2 linked regions of the Lonchura striata genome follow. Each later gene encodes a partner of the first gene's protein in a complex. Links are inferred from orthologs where the notes say so. Each region holds a gene or a part of one and is shown in the gene's direction. Other genes may lie near its edges.

Evidence for each region. The genes of interacting proteins can lie anywhere in the genome.
Region 2: the proteins of SNTG1 (region 1) and TRPV3 are in contact, whole or in part, in a crystal structure (PDB 7QQN), measured with the Homo sapiens proteins. The link is inferred for Lonchura striata from reciprocal best matches to the Homo sapiens genes SNTG1 and TRPV3. Residues at the interface, in NP_001274742.1 of Homo sapiens: Arg62, Gly66, Gly67, Phe68, Gly69, Leu70, Ser71, Ile72, Lys73, Gly74, His78, Ser85, Lys86, His118, Glu119, Val122, Arg126; in NP_659505.1 of Homo sapiens: Pro786, Glu787, Thr788, Ser789, Val790.

Annotation. Positions count from the first base shown.
Region 1 is NC_134603.1:41,399,839-41,407,938, reverse strand, and holds the start of SNTG1 (gamma-1-syntrophin), read left to right. Parts: upstream 1-5,051; 5' UTR 5,052-5,359; intron 5,360-8,100. UniProt on the Homo sapiens protein: Adapter protein that binds to and probably organizes the subcellular localization of a variety of proteins. May link various receptors to the actin cytoskeleton and the dystrophin glycoprotein complex.
Region 2 is NC_134622.1:8,440,611-8,447,778, forward strand, and holds the start of TRPV3 (transient receptor potential cation channel subfamily V member 3), read left to right. Parts: upstream 1-4,066; 5' UTR 4,067-4,116; intron 4,117-7,168. UniProt on the Homo sapiens protein: Non-selective calcium permeant cation channel. It is activated by innocuous (warm) temperatures and shows an increased response at noxious temperatures greater than 39 degrees Celsius. Activation exhibits an outward rectification.

The DNA of each region.
Region 1 (8,100 bases):
CCACAAGCATTGCCTCAAGTATATACAGTTGACTTTAATGCCAGCAACATACCAATCATTTTTATAAAATATAGATGCACCCACATATATTTCAAAATGCTTTAAACAATTAAATTATCTGCAGATCACATCCCAGATTTGAATTACACTGTCTAATCTTTTAACTATCACTTCAAAAATTGTGAAGAAATAAATTATTTCCCATCCTTAATAATGTTTTATGTTTTTTTTGTTTTCTTATGAAGACTCATAAATCCTACAGAATGTACATTAGTTATTTTCAAATTATATTTTTATGAGTTATTTTTCTTCCAAATGTAAAAAAAAAACCCAAACATTTTCAAACTTTGCAATGTGTACAATTAATTTTTAAATGCACATAGGGGAATTCTATCTCCTTTTGTTGAAGAAATAGGATAATTGTGAGAAAGCAAATATAATTGTTTTTTGTTGAGAATGAAACAGAAAAATATAATCAATAATTTTCTTAGGTCATACTGTTTATAGCCCATGATGTTTTACTTGTCTCTTTTGATTTGTAATAGTTTATTTTAATAAATTAATTACTAAGGCAAATAATGCTAATAATTTCCTTGAGAGTAGTTACAATCCTTTGTTAAAATTTTATCCAAATTATCTTCTCTGTTAAAAATACCCATTAATGAGATGCAAGCCATTTATAGACTACCATAAATAATAACAGTACTGATTATGATATACAGGCTGCATGTATAATTTAGGATTAAGGAATGATATTAAGACTATGAATTTCCCAGTGTCGCTTGAGATTCTCTGCTGTTAGGTTTCAAGCTGTATGGTTTTAAATTTTTCAAGCCTTTAGATGATTTTAAAAGCCCAGAATTTCAAAGTAAAAATTTGCGCAGAATTTATGGAATTGCTACTATCCTGTTTACATGAGAAAAGAGGAATTTTAATGTATAACTATATTTAGTTACAATTTGAACAAACCCCCATGTCTCTCTTTGGGCCCATGTGAGTGAGAGTTTTAAGTGGACTGACAAGAGTTCTTGAGAAAGAAGTCACGGCAGCAAGGAATTTTATGGAATATAGCTGCAGAATATTTTGGCCACCTACAGACTGTAGAAGACTATTTTGGTCTCCATCAGTTCCCCAGTCATATTTTCAGATTACAAGCCATGGTGACAAATGACACATTATTTTATATAAGGGTGCCTGATACTCGTAAATGGAGTATTTTTGTGAAGCTTAGTTTAGACTAAATGGGGAAAAAAGAGGGAATATACTCACATATTTTTTGACATAGTTGTGTGGATTATTATCAGTCTGTGAATGGAAGTTAAAACCAAAATTATATCATCAGGAATTGGGAATGTGCTCTTCATGTGCACCTTGATACACAAAATACCAAGGAGCTTATCGATGACCTTGTGATCCACTTTCTATAAAGTGTGACACCTGTCCTTGATGGTGTTACATTTGTTACTCTGACTGCTCTCTTTTCCAAAAGTGGATATTGAAAATAGATTAATTCTATTCTCACAGAACCAATTAATAACCTATCAGCCATGATGTGTTCCCAGAGGTGGTAGGACACGCTACGGGAATGGAAAATCTAATGCTGCAGTGATGTTGGACAAAAACCACTCTCTATTTCCCAAAGCATTTAAACATCTTTCTCATACATTCATGTTACTTGGCCACTACAACTGGTAGTTTCTTTTCCCATGCACTTTTTCAAAGCTGAGTTCTCTGCCCTTTATTTCCCAGCATTTTCAGAGGGAGGCTTATGTGTGACAGACACATGCATAAGGGTTTGGCTGCCAAATGCCAGAAGCCCTGCCCACACTCAAAGTGAGCTATACATTCAGAAAAAAAAAATGGATGCTGTAGTCATTTATGAAACAGAAAAGAAGAAAAATGATCTTTTGCAGATAGGTAGTCAATACAGTTTTACCAAGAGTGTCACTCGCTTGCTTGGTGGGTAAAATTCTTCCTTTCATTCTCATATTTTTTAAGTAATGACAATTTTTCTTCATGCTTAGCCTCCATTTCTTCCATTTTTAATGCTTCTCATCCTTTGTCACTCCATCCTTGTTGGTGACTTGAGTGGTGCCAGGCTGCTGAAGCTGAAGAATCTAAAACAGATGCCAATCTACCATCATCTTATTACGTGAAATTTCTTAATTAACATATTCCATACTACATAAAAACAATTCTGGCTCACCTCTCTGACTATAAATGTTGCTTCATGTTGTTGACTACATCTTAAATTTACCTGACATCTGATTTCTGTATACGTAAAAATCTTATTTTGTGTTTGTTCTGCCTGAAGCAAAAATACAACATGAATGTAACATGAATGTAATTGTGTGTAAAACTGGAATGCACATTTATTTCACACAATGTGGTTGATAATGATAAAAAATACTGCACACTTTTTTCACCTGGTTTGGTAGACTTCATCTTCAGCATATTCTTAGTGGTAATGAAACTTGCAACCTATATGTATTTTAATAAATATCAATATGTTTTTAATAAATATTAATATATTTTAAAATAGTTTGAAAGATACTGCACTAAAATAGAACAGCTTCCTCTTGTGAAATGAAATTTCCTTTCTTGCTTGAGCTATCCACTTTACATTATCACACAAAGAATGAAGTGGGAGGTCTCCATGAAAAATGACAGCTCTTCCTACAGATGGGGGAACAGGATATGTATTGATTCTATAATCAATAGGTGACTCTGATAGCGAAAACTGAGGACGTTGTCCCTGTTGAAATTTGAGTATGGGACTGACTCTAGACAAAGCAACTAAAAGGTAATAAAATATTTTTTGTTTCTACTTTGTTTATAAATTTCTTTCTTGGGTGTTGACTTTCCCAGCAGGGCATGAATTCCACTTCACTTCTGTCTTTGATAAGTTTTTAGTTCATTACATTTCATTTATTTAAATTCTCAGACATGATTTTCAATCATCCCAGTCCTCATATATGTACCATTTTAATAATTTATTTTTTCAGTCTTGTCAGAAGAACTATCAGTTCAAACTATTCAATCTTTCAGTAGGACAAATAGCTTGGTTAGTTTGTAGCTATCAAGAACTGTTGGTATCAATTCAATACTAGTAAACAAGGAAAGATAAAGATCTGTATCTCAAGATGACAAGTACATGAAGTACAGATCTGTTCAATTAGGCATGAAACTTATCAATGCATTTTCTAAGGCACTTATCAACCCAACATTTAGCTTTATTCTTCGGAGCAACTCTCTTAGCTTTGCATTTAGCTTGCATTAAGCTGTCTGTTTAAATCTTTTCCCCCCTCAATAGCTCACTGCACATTATTGAAGGTAATATTTATAAAAGGAGTGCATAAGGAACAGAAACATTTTTGTTTCTGCCAACTTGGTTGAAGAAAAGCCCTTAACTGTGAGATGCCCGTGAAAACCACTTTTCATTAGAAGAAGCCTACAGAAGTTGAAGGGAAAAGGACTATCGGAGAAGCTACGGAACAGCAAAGCTCAATCTCCTTTCTAGCGAACTTTTAATTGTGACACCCTCCCAGACATCCTCAGCCTAACTAGAGAGAAACATTCCCAAGAGCTAGAAGGGGCCCCAGAGCATGCGGGTGAGACCACTGCTGCTCCACTCACTCTCAGTTTGGCAAAAGCCCCACGAGGGCCGGGCTCTCCCCGACACCAAGGAGGCGCAGAGGCTCCGCGGGATTCCCTGCCCGCAGCTCTCCGCAGCGCCGGCGGGCGGCGAGCCCGGCTGCCGGCATCGCCGCGGGAGCCCGCGGCCAGCGCGGCGCCGAGAGGCGGCTCCGGTGGCGGCTCCCCTCGGGCTCTCTCCTGCTGCTTTTCCCCGCCGCCTTCATTCTCCTCCTGCCTTCACCGTGGCAGGTCGACTTCTGGCGGCCCCATCCGCGGGGAGATGCGGTTTCCCCGCGGCGGCCGCCTATGCGTATGGGGGTGTGTTCATGCATGTACATACATATCTATGTTTTATATATATGGGTGTGCCTGTGTAAGTGACTGATAGCTGCGTTAGAGCGTGTCATTGCAGCGCTGTCCGACGGCGAGGGCCATCCATGCCTGCGGGGGATCTCCGGCCGGGCACCGTGCGCGCTGCTGGAAGCACGAGCGTGCGGAACGGGAGAGCGAGGATCACGCAGGGCTTTCGCGAGGCACAGGGCAGCTTGTCCCTCACCCCTTTTGCACCCTTTGGGCCCCCTCCTTGTCCGAGGCAGCCCGGAAGAGCGGCGCTGGCTGTGCGCCGGTGGCGGTGGTCGCCGCAGAGCCGTGCTCTGGGTTAGAGGCTGGGAGACGGGGCGCGGAGAAGGCAGCGCCGGTGCCGCGCCAAGCCAGCCAGGCAAAGTAATAGAACCGGCACCAAATTTCTTCCCTACATGGGGGATCGATGTACAGTCCCTCTGGCGAGCGGCCAGCCGAAACCCTGTCACACAGCTGGCAGAAAGGGCAGCCAAGGCAGCTGAACTAAAGAGGAGGTTGAGTGAGGAAAGAGGGGGAGCCGATAACTTTCCTGCCGGGCACGGGGTGAGCGGCCAGCCGCAGCTCCCTAGGACCGGGGAGAGCTCCGCGGGCTCCGGGCGAGCGGGCTCTCCCGCAGCCCAGGAGACACCGCCTCCCCCGGGCGCTCGGCAGCTCCGCCGCCGCGCCCGGGACCGCTCTGTCCCTGCGCGCCGGTGGTCCAGCTCACCCTCCCGCTGCCCGTGGGAAGCGGCTCCCGCTTCGCCGCCCGCTCGCCCCTCTCCGGCACGGGGGCCGGCCCGGGGGAGGGCTGCGCGTCACCGGATCTGCTGGCGCCGGCAGCGGGGCGGCGTTACGGAGCGCCCCGGGAGCGGCGGGGGGGCGGGCGGGGGTCCCGGGCGGGGCCGGCATCGCCGCGCCTGGCTGCGGCCGCGGTGGCGGCGCCGCGCCGCCTCGCCTCCCCTCGCCTGGCCGCGCCTCGCCTGGCCGCTCGCCGCCGCGAGGGGCGGCGCTGCTCCCCGCACGCCCCCGCCCGGCGCCCCCGCTCCGTCTCCGGGAAGGGCGCGGGGAGCCCCTCGCTCCCCCCCAGCGCGGCGGAGTTCGAGCCGGTGCGGCGGCGGCCGGGCTGCGATGCCCTGTTAGCCGGCGGCCCGCCCCGAGGTAGCGCCGGCGGGCAGGAGCGCGAGTTGCCGGAGCTGTGGCTGACACCATGGGCACCGGGCGGGGGGGAGAGGCGGCCGGGCTCCCTGCGCTCCTCGGCTGAGCCCGGGGATGTGCCGGCGCCCGGAGGAATTATTTTGGAACTAGCACGGAGCGGTGGGAGGAGGACGAGCGGCACAGCGTTTCTCAGCTGCGAGGAGGTCGTCCGGCGGTGCTGTATAGGCAAGTAAGCTCTTGCTTCCTTTTCGCTGCGTTTCCTTCGTCTCGAGTGACTTTTTTTTTGCAGCTGCTGATCGGTTGCTGCCAGTTTCGAGGCCGGATGGTCGGCGGCGCCAGCATCAGTTCTCGGGGGTTGAGGTGCGGGGGGGATTGGTGGCCGGGATTGCAGGGGAGCCCCGCTCCAACTCCGCCGGAGTCCGCCGCGGGCGGACCGCTGGTGCGGTGCTCCGGTGCATAGCCGGGAAAGAAGCTCCGTGTCCCAACGCTTCCCACTTCTGCAACTGAAAGAGATGATGCCTTTTCCCAGGCATTTCATAATGTAAAATGCTTTCTCCTCTTTGCTGAACTCTAACTAAATTGTAGGAGCCCCTTAATTGCTTTTCACCCGTGCTTCTTGTGGGAGAGAGGCAAGAAGCATGTTAGCCTTACATACGCACTTATGGATTCAGATAGTGAGTTTTGATTTTTATGCCCTTAACTTTCTTGTGCCCTGCCTGGTGTTCTTCCTTGAGATGCTCTTGCTGTGAGGTTATGGTTCGTCCAGTCTTGTTTGTTTGCTTTTAGCCTGTGGATATTTATTGCTACACTTGACATGGCAATGAAGGGAAAAGTTGACTGTAATTTATTTCAGTGTATGGAGGACAGGTTGCAGGCAGGGGACTAATTCAGAGGAACTCCACTTCAAAGGGAGAGGCCCATGGGGCTGTAATCTGTAGCTAAAAACTCGGAGAGCTCAGAACAGACCGGTCACACTGCAAAGAACGAGTTCTATTCACCTTTCAGCAGTGATAGCGTTCCCGAACCTGTGAATAGACCTGACTGAAATGCAGGAAACAGAGATGTGAATTCTGGGCAGGTTTGGGAGAAGGCAGAACTTTAAACACTGCTTATTTAAGTTTGCTCTTACTGATTTCCTCAGTGTCTTCTCTATGAGCCTGAAAACTGCAATCTGTTACAGTGACCTTGATGCATGTTGTATTCTAACAGGAAAGCAGCACAGAATAAAAGTATTTACACATATTTACAGCTAAGCTCTGATGTTTCACTAGGAGCTCATTCAGTTTCAGTGAATGTGGTAGTTTCAGCAGGGGCACTGGGCATGGTGTGTGTGTAGGAAATAACTTGGGAAAATAACTTGCTAATAGTGATGAAAGTAAAAGTTGAAGTGTTGGAAACGTATGCTTCTGCAGAAATGCCACTGTGTGTGAAAGGTCTATTAAGTTGTGGATATTTTGTTTTCTAATCAGTGAGATCTGTACTGAAAGGAGTGTGTGGGTGTGTGTGGAAATCTCAAGGCTTCCCAAGTTAATGCACTTTGAGTTGTCAGCAGCAAGAGATCTTTTTACACACTGAAATACACATTTTTACGTAGATGCAAGATTGACATCATAAGATTAAAAAATGTTGGGATGTCAGTATGGTGAACATGTAGCTAACTCAGGTTTATAGCTGAAAGATAAATGAATCCTTTCCCATAATGGTGGAAGATGTTCTGACTGAAGGGAGTGTCATTTGTTTCAGTGCAGATTATGGAGAATGCTCCTATAGTTTGTTCATATTTCTGCCTCTCTGATGAAGCTGTGAAACACAATTGGAATAACTGCTGCTAGACAGTGGGATGCAAACCTATCCATTACTTAAAACACTCAGCTTATTCTGCCTCATTTCAAAAAAAAGTATAGTTTCTGGCAAAGTCTGCCTATGGTTTTGTTGTAGTAATTCCTTCCTCTGTTGCAGAGTGGCAGGCTTTCACTAGGCATGTGCAAGGGAGAACATGAAACACTGAAGCATGCACTAATCTGGAATTCATTTGGGCTATGTATTACATTCGAGGTTTCCACAGTTAGCATAAGTGCTTATGCCTGATTATATGAATAAACGGGGCTTAAAAATTGTATTAGTCACTTGTGATGCATATTGCAGACTCCTCTTCTTCCTTTTTAGTCTTTCAAACTAATCTAATGCTATACTCACTCTTTGCCTGAGGAGGAAGAAAATATAATTTAATATTTTATCATTTGGCTTTTGCCGTGTCTTGTCCCATAGCTATGAGGTAATCGAATGAAGGTCCCCATCACTGAATTAAAGGACATGGTGCTCTAGACTTTCACTTACAGTCAAATTTTCCCTCTTTTACATGGCTAAAGAATCGAGTTTTAACAAGATCTGAGAAAAAAAAAAATGTTGCTTTTCTGTTAGAAACTCGAAAAGAAAGGGGAAGGTAAGACTTGAGGTCTTTAAAGACATCATTAAAAATATCCACTTTTAAGATATTAATTAACCTTATTTACCTTCACACGTTTTCCTTATATTTTACATGGTACTTGTCAGAAAGCCTTCCTGGATATTGATACTTTAGTTTACATTGTGTGTAGTTCTTAATTTTAAAAATTCAGGAGTGGCCATCACACACTTCACTGTAAGGCTATTCTAGAATCCTGTTTAATGTTCTGTATCCCACTTGGCTTGTATCTTTTGAATCTGAGATTTCCATATTTAACTTTATAGTATGCATTTTTGTTTTAATTCTATATAAATCTTTTTACTAGAGAAGATTGTTGACTTTGATTCAGAAATTTCAGGGCAAACTCAGAAGTTATTTTTCTTTCCTCTTTTTTTTTTTTTTTTTTTTTTTTTTTTTTGTGTGTGTGTGTTTTCTCAGTCATGCTTTTTGGGCATAGCTTTCATGAGCTGGCAGGAAATCCTGTTTGAATGTGACTTTTTTAGTCAGCCCAACCCAGTTGAATG
Region 2 (7,168 bases), on another chromosome or scaffold:
CACACAGCACCAGCAGCAGGACATGCTCACAGGACAGGGACAAGAGCCACCGCCCTGCACATCTGGACATGCACATCTGTACACAGAGGGCTGTCAAAGGAATCTGTAAGTTTGGGCTGTTAGGTTTTGCCTCAGGAGTGCCAGAGAACAGCACAAATGCAGGAAAACACACTGGAAAAAAGGTAACAAATCCATTCTTGCCACTGCTTATCATGATCTCATGCTTAGGTAGCCCTGACACTTTGCCAAGAGGGATAACTGTGGCCTGAAGTCAAATATTGATGCCACTAACATAAAGTGGGTTTTTACTGCACTTATTTCAACTTAATAATTACTGAGCCCATGCCTGCATAGGGAATTGGCCACAGATGTGGGAATTAGGGAGATGCAGGTGGAAGTGAGCAGTCTGTCAGCTGGGGAGAGGGTATAATAAGGGGGGAAGGGAGGCAGCTTTGGGTTTTTGGCTGGAGGGAGTGGGTAGAAACTGAGATATAGGGTCAGGCTTTTCTTTGCTCTTCTGCTCTCTTCATATGAGCCCTGGCTGTGATGCAGCAGGGCACGGCTCAAATGCAGAATAAAAATGTTTTTCCCTGCTGCAGAAAGGAAGAAAACAGCAGGGACAGACTGAGGAGGGCCATGACTGGAGTTCCTTCCTGTGCTGAGCAGGACTCTCAGGGCAGCTGCTGGAATCAGGTCCAGCATGTGTAGCTTGGAAGAACAGAAAATAATTAGGATAACAATTCTTTTGCCCAAGCAGAAAGAATAAACTGCACAGTGCCACAGTTGCAGGGAATATATTTGTGATGGAGGTTCCAGCAACCCTTCTCATCCCCTCATGCATGAGACTGTTCTCTGGCAGGGATCTTTAGGAATCAGCTCTCCAGTGCAAAAATGCATCATAGAATTGCTAAAGAGGCCGACTTGTCCCTGCAGCCCAGACTGCACCAACTGGTAAGTGATATATCCCAGTATTTTCCTGGAATGACTTCCCACAAGGCTGTCTCTTGGTAGGTGACAGTCACACACTTGCAGGCTAATTCATGTTCCTGTTGCTCAGCTGCATAAAGCAGCCTCTTATCTTGCAATTTACGAGCCTAATGTGTAAATATTTGCAAGCGCTTATCAGTTGTTTGGAGAGGTGTGAAAAGCTCTTAGTAGAGCAGCGCACAGAGGTGATCCCAGGACAAGTTTAACTCTGAGGGGAGGGGTGAGGAGAGCACAGTGAAAAATCATGGGAGACTCCTGTGAACCAGTTAAACACTATGCTCAGGGGAAGTGGGATGCTACTGGTATGCTTTTAATTCTCATATTTTGGATTATTTTTAAGGAGCTTGGGGGATGGAATGATGACAATAAGTAAATTACAATTATTCTTGATGTTACTCAAGGTCAAAAATGTATTTAGATAGTGGCTTTTCCCATAAGTGAATCTGCTGGGGTACTAAAAATCAGAGAATTAAATATAAAATCTGAATAGCTTCTAATGTGAGTTTGCCTGGGACGGTGTCCTGTATCAGCAGAAGAGCAAACGCTGCTCTGACTTGCTGATGTCAGATGGAAAATCTCCAAATGCTCATTCTTCCCCATCTGGGGTTTCCTTCATCTTGTTCATTTTGGTTTCTACTGAGTCTAACACTTGCTAGGAAAACAAAATAATGCCACGTAGGGCTTCTGCTACTTATTTGTGCTGTGCAGACTGTCCAAAGCTGAAATTTTCAAGTAATTTTTAATAGGAAATGCATGTTATTAATGTTCTCAACCCTTATGGCATCTCTTCAGTAGCTGGAGCAGCAGCTGGTGACTGCTGTAAAACTCTATAAAATGGTCATGGACAGAGCCTCTTGGAAAACCCTCCATGGCTCCTGAAATTGCTGCCCTTGTCAGAAACAGCGGGGTGGAGCAGGGGACAAAAAGGCTGAGCAGGTTGATGATTAAAACTGGAAGAAAATGTTCGCACAGATGTGACTGGCTGTAGCTCTGCCTCTCACTTCCTGCCCCTCAAGTCTGTCCTCACAAGCAGCCCAGCTCAGGCTCACAGCACCCCAAAATTCTGTTTTCAGGGACATCAGCCAGAACCAGGCAGGGCTCCTGCTCCCCAGATCTGAGAGGAAAGGCCACACTGGGGTTCAGGGGGTCAAGGCTGCCCTGGCAGGGCAAGGAGCAGCTCACAGAGCAGGCAGGGTGGAGTGGAGCTGCTGTGAGCTGCTCTCAGCTCCTGCAGTCCCTGCACCTCTCTGTGGGCAGCAGGGCTCTGCCTCTCTTGCTGCTGCTTGTCCTGGTTTTTCCTCTCTGGATAACTGCCACAACATTATAAATAGACCTTGCTGCTAGGTGCCGTGTTCTGCTAAACCCCACAGATCTGGCTGCTTTCAGATATAGCTGCTTTCCAAATTCAAAGTCCTGCTTGCTGCCAAATTCATTTTCCCTCCTTAGCAAAAGGATTTCTGTTACTGTGGTTGATCAGAGGTAAAGCAAGAGTCCTCAAATGCACCTTCACCCAGATTTCATATGCCTTTTCCCATTTCCATCCTCAGAGTGACTTCAATTAAACAGTTCCTTGCAGTTTGTGTTGAGAACCAAGCTGGTGCTGTCCCAGGCAGGAGGGAATGGCAGGACCCAATCTTTATTCCAGGTTCTTACACTAAAAGACCATCAAAGCAGCTGCCTCTGGGTTGTCAGAGCTCTGTTCAGGCATTTGGCAAGATGTGAACAACATCTCCTGGCACGGGGTTTGGAACAGAGCAGGAATTTGTCAGGCAGAGTTGGTTGTGTGCTCAGCACCTCCAACCAAAGGGATCCCCAGTGCCAAACACAACCAGCCCAGGCAGAGCCCCTTTCCCCATGCAGCTGCTGGGAGCTGATTCATTAGCAGGAGCTGTGCAGTGCTCCTGGCATTTCACACAAGGTCTGAGGCAAATGTAACACCCAGCAGACCTGTTTTTAAAAATAATTTATGAACAGGAGGAGCTTACCTTAAGTTTGTAGATGTACTTTAATGCCATAGTCTTTGGATTAAAATGTCTGTGTTGTAGTAGCCAAAGATATTTTGGTTTTACTTCCAAAATTTGCCCTATGTCCTACCAAAAAACACCACCCAAACTTGACTTTTTTTTGCCCTTGTCTACAGCTGAAAAAAGATTCCTGTTTTGCTGCCTATCTAATAATTAACTCAAGACCAGCAGCTGTAAATACACCTTGCAGGTCTGACTACAAAGACATAGGAGTTTTTCACATCCTATTTCTGGTGATAATGCAAAGACTCTATAAAAAGAGCAGAGGAACTTATGGTCACTCTTTTGGTATGTGCCAGACCAGAATTCTGCATTCACCATTGCTCAACAGCTCCAAAATAGAAAAGCTGAGAAAAGTCATTGCCTGTCACAGGGATGTGAAGCCCAACTGGTTATGTTCCCACAGCCCCTGTGGGGACATATTCATTAAAAACTTTTACAGGTAGAGAAAAATGTAAACATACCCCCCATGTTTTCCCTGACAGCACTGTGCAATTATAAGATTTTCTAATGTAGTTTGTGAATTTTTGAAGTAACAGCAAAAATTTCTGCTTGCTGGAGCACTTAGGATCACTTCCTTGTTTTTGCTTTCTGCATTCTGAGTCGGTCCTTGCTATGTAACAAACTGAGCATGACATAAAGGTGTCATTTACAACCCAAATGCAGCTGCATGACCATTTCCCTTTGCAAAGAGCGTGTAAACTGCAGAGCAGCAATCACCTGAGATACTCCACTGCTGCCGTGAAGTCACCTGTGAGCAACTCAGCTTTGGTAACACTCCAGTGTGTAATTACTGCCTGTGTGTCATCCCACTTTAGCAGCTCTGAAGTCAAGAGTTGTTGCCTGGCCAGTTTCTCCCTGCTCCCTAATTTCAGATGGAGCAAACTCCGTGCGGCCGCGGTTCCTCGGCGCTCCCCTGGCTCTGCTCCCCAGCTGAGCACACCAGATGCCTGGAGCAGGGTACTTTTGTGTTTTTGGGATAGTCTGGAGCCTGAGTGTGGTTTTGGTCCTTTGGCAGATGAGTTTTGGATGTTGTCAGCGGGGCTTTGCTTTGGTTTTCGCCGCCCAGATCCGTCCACGCCGACATGGAGGTGCTGTGAGCGGGGTGAGTGCTCCAGGGGTGTTTGGGGTGATGCTTTGGAGAGAGGGAAATCTGCCAGAGACAGAGGTGGAAGCCATCCTTCACAGAGAAAATGTGTTTCTGTTGTGCTTGTTTCTGTTTTTCTAGTCTGTGAATGGCTCTCCTGAGCTGTGCTATTTCCTTGGGTATTCAGGAGTGAAGAAGGACAGGCCTGATTTAATTTGTGTTTGTCAGCCTGGACACTGTTGCACTTCCTAATTCCTGTGCCAAGGGGATCCAAAACATAATATCAGAACTTTAATACCTTCATCATCTTCCACCAAAAATTTCAGCTACTGTAGTGACCACTGAAAGTCAACTATAAGGTATAGAATAAGTTATTTCAACTCAGAAAAACTCTTATTTTTATTTAATTCAGAAATAGGCGGGTAAATAATTTCAAATCACTTTTCTTCAGGGAAAAAAATATTGCTTTTCAGAGTTTATTAAAAATTTCTATTAGGAAGAACCTTCATAGGAAGGTGAAAATTTCTCACCAAGAAGAGCATTCTTGGTAGCACCTGAAGCCAATGAATGCCCCTCAAAAGTTTAAAAACCTTACAGGAAGATGCAGCTCTTCCTACCGAGTGTAACTTTCTGTTGATATGACTCATAAATAATCATATTTATGATTATTTATGAAAAGTCAAAATGAAGTTTTATCAGCTTTCCCCTCGAAGAGGGGATTTAATTTTTATGGCCAGTAGGAATTAGGTGGTGGGTGCTGGGAAGGGCCATGGTCTGTTCTGAGGCTCTTGGGAGTCACTTCCCCTCCTTGCCCCCAGGGAAGGGGAGACCTTTGTGCCACAACATCACAGCTGAGTCTTTCTTCTGATTTATAGGATTCTCTCTTTAGCCATGTTGTAGAAACTGTTACTGAGATATACAAATATGTGTGATTTTTCCTGTTCTAAGATAAGCAGAAGGTGAGTCTGTGATAATGTGTAGCAATGGCAGAATGCCATTCACCATCACAGATAAATTCCCTTTTCTTACCCCCAGCACACTGGAGGTCAGATACCAAATCCTCAGATCCCTTTCAAAGTAATTCTTGATACTATAAATCAATGCAGGGTTTTTGTCTTGCTGGCCACTTCAAATAAGCCACTTCTCTGGTGGCCTGTAAGTGACAATTAGGGAGATAATGGGAGTAGAAAATAGTTACAACCAAAGACAACATTTTGTATCAGGTTAGGGAAGCTACACTGCTTAGATCTGACACTTTTCAGGCTGCTGCACTATTTTCCTCTTTCTGTCATAGATCACAGGAAATGATAGTGCACTGGAAGCTGCTGAGAGCCCAGCTTAATTTTCATCTCAGCACACAGTTAATTGTGATTAAAAATGAGGCAGACGCTGCCTCAGCACTGTAGCAAGGTACTTCTGCTATGGTGCCTACAGTTATTTACTTGGGCAGGCTGATTAAAATCTCATTTTAAATAGACTTTTTGGCTGGGATACAGTCACATCTCTGTGCTTTTGAAAGTGGAGTCCCTCTGTACTTAAGGAAATCTGTCCTCTTTTTCCTTGCCAAACTGCTTCCTTACATCACTGGTTGTTCAGCAGTCCTTCATCATCCAACACAACTCCAGGGCTATTTTGGTTATTCCCCACCTCTCCTCAGAGGCGCAGCCTGTTCTCGAGCCACTCCTAAAATCTCTGTGCTGAAAACTGACTGCAAAATGGGGCTTGGAGCTGCAGCCCTTGCAGGGAGGTGTTGCCATCTCTGAGCAGCTCCAGCATCACTCACAAACAAGAGGAATTTAGGAATTTAACTCCATCTTTATTCCTCCAGCTCTTCATTCTGCTCTCCCACCCCTCTGACTTCACACCCCACCCAGCTGAGCCCTTCTCAACTTGACAACTCCTTTTGTTGACTTTTGGACTTTCCAACTATTCTCTTCCTTTAAAGCCTTTATTTTGTGAAGCTGTTTAATGTCCATCCCCGCCATGGTCCCCTTTTATTTGATTTATGTCAAGTATCCCATTTGCCTCTTCCTCAGGATGGGGTGTTTTTGCCCACACACTGCTTTGTATTCTTTAAGTACTTGATAAAAAGTACATAGCAGAATTATTTATGAACTAAGCAGGACAACAGTCATTTGTTTGTGCTGTGCTTAGACTAAAAGTTTATCAGTGTGTTCAGTGACACAACATGTATCTGGGGACTTTGTGAATGGCATTTCCAGTGGCACAGACAAACCCCCTTCTCCCACCTCTCCTGTATAATCTCCAAATTCAGCTCTTCGCTGCATTTACTAGAAGCTGTGGTGTACTTTGTATGCAAGTAAAAATATTTTTCCCTTTATAAATTATTTTTCTGAAAGCTGTGACATGAATTCTTAGGAAATTTATCCAAACTAGGAATGTTTCCTAGTGTGAGCACACCTGCCAATGGTAAAAAACATGATAAAAATTTCTTTCCATGCCTGTTTCTTCAGCCAGCCTTTGCAAGGTAAGGAGTCTCTTCCAATGTTTCAAGTTCCTATTCCACAGAGTGCCAAGAGATTACAGCTGCACTTAGGATTGTTTGGACCCTGTAAATTCTCAGCTCTCTGTACTTGGGATTGAAAATTGCCATAATTAAACATTTGTTGTTTATGCATTAATAGACTTTCACTCCAATACCAGTGTATTTGATATTCCTGGCTCCTCTCTCGTACCAGGTGTCATGTCTTCTCAAACACTCTGAACAATCTGCTTTCTGTATCTTGATACTCCCAGAATGAAGGGATCCTGGTGCTAAGGCACACTGACAGTGCTGTGACAGGAGCAGAAAAATTGTGTGTGTACATTTGTCACATTAAGGAAAGTGGAGTAGGAGGGGGAAAAAATGTGTGGTTGATTTTGTTCAAACTTTGCAGGCAAATTATTTTTACCATTTGTCCTTGGGTTTGGAGGCCACTCCCCTGATTTCCTTGGGAATGGATCCCTGACCTCATAAATCTTCCTGAGTGTACCTTCAGTGAATTTTAATGTATCCTGAATTCACCTTCTTGCTTTCAAATTATCCTGGGCCATTTAAAATGATGCCCTT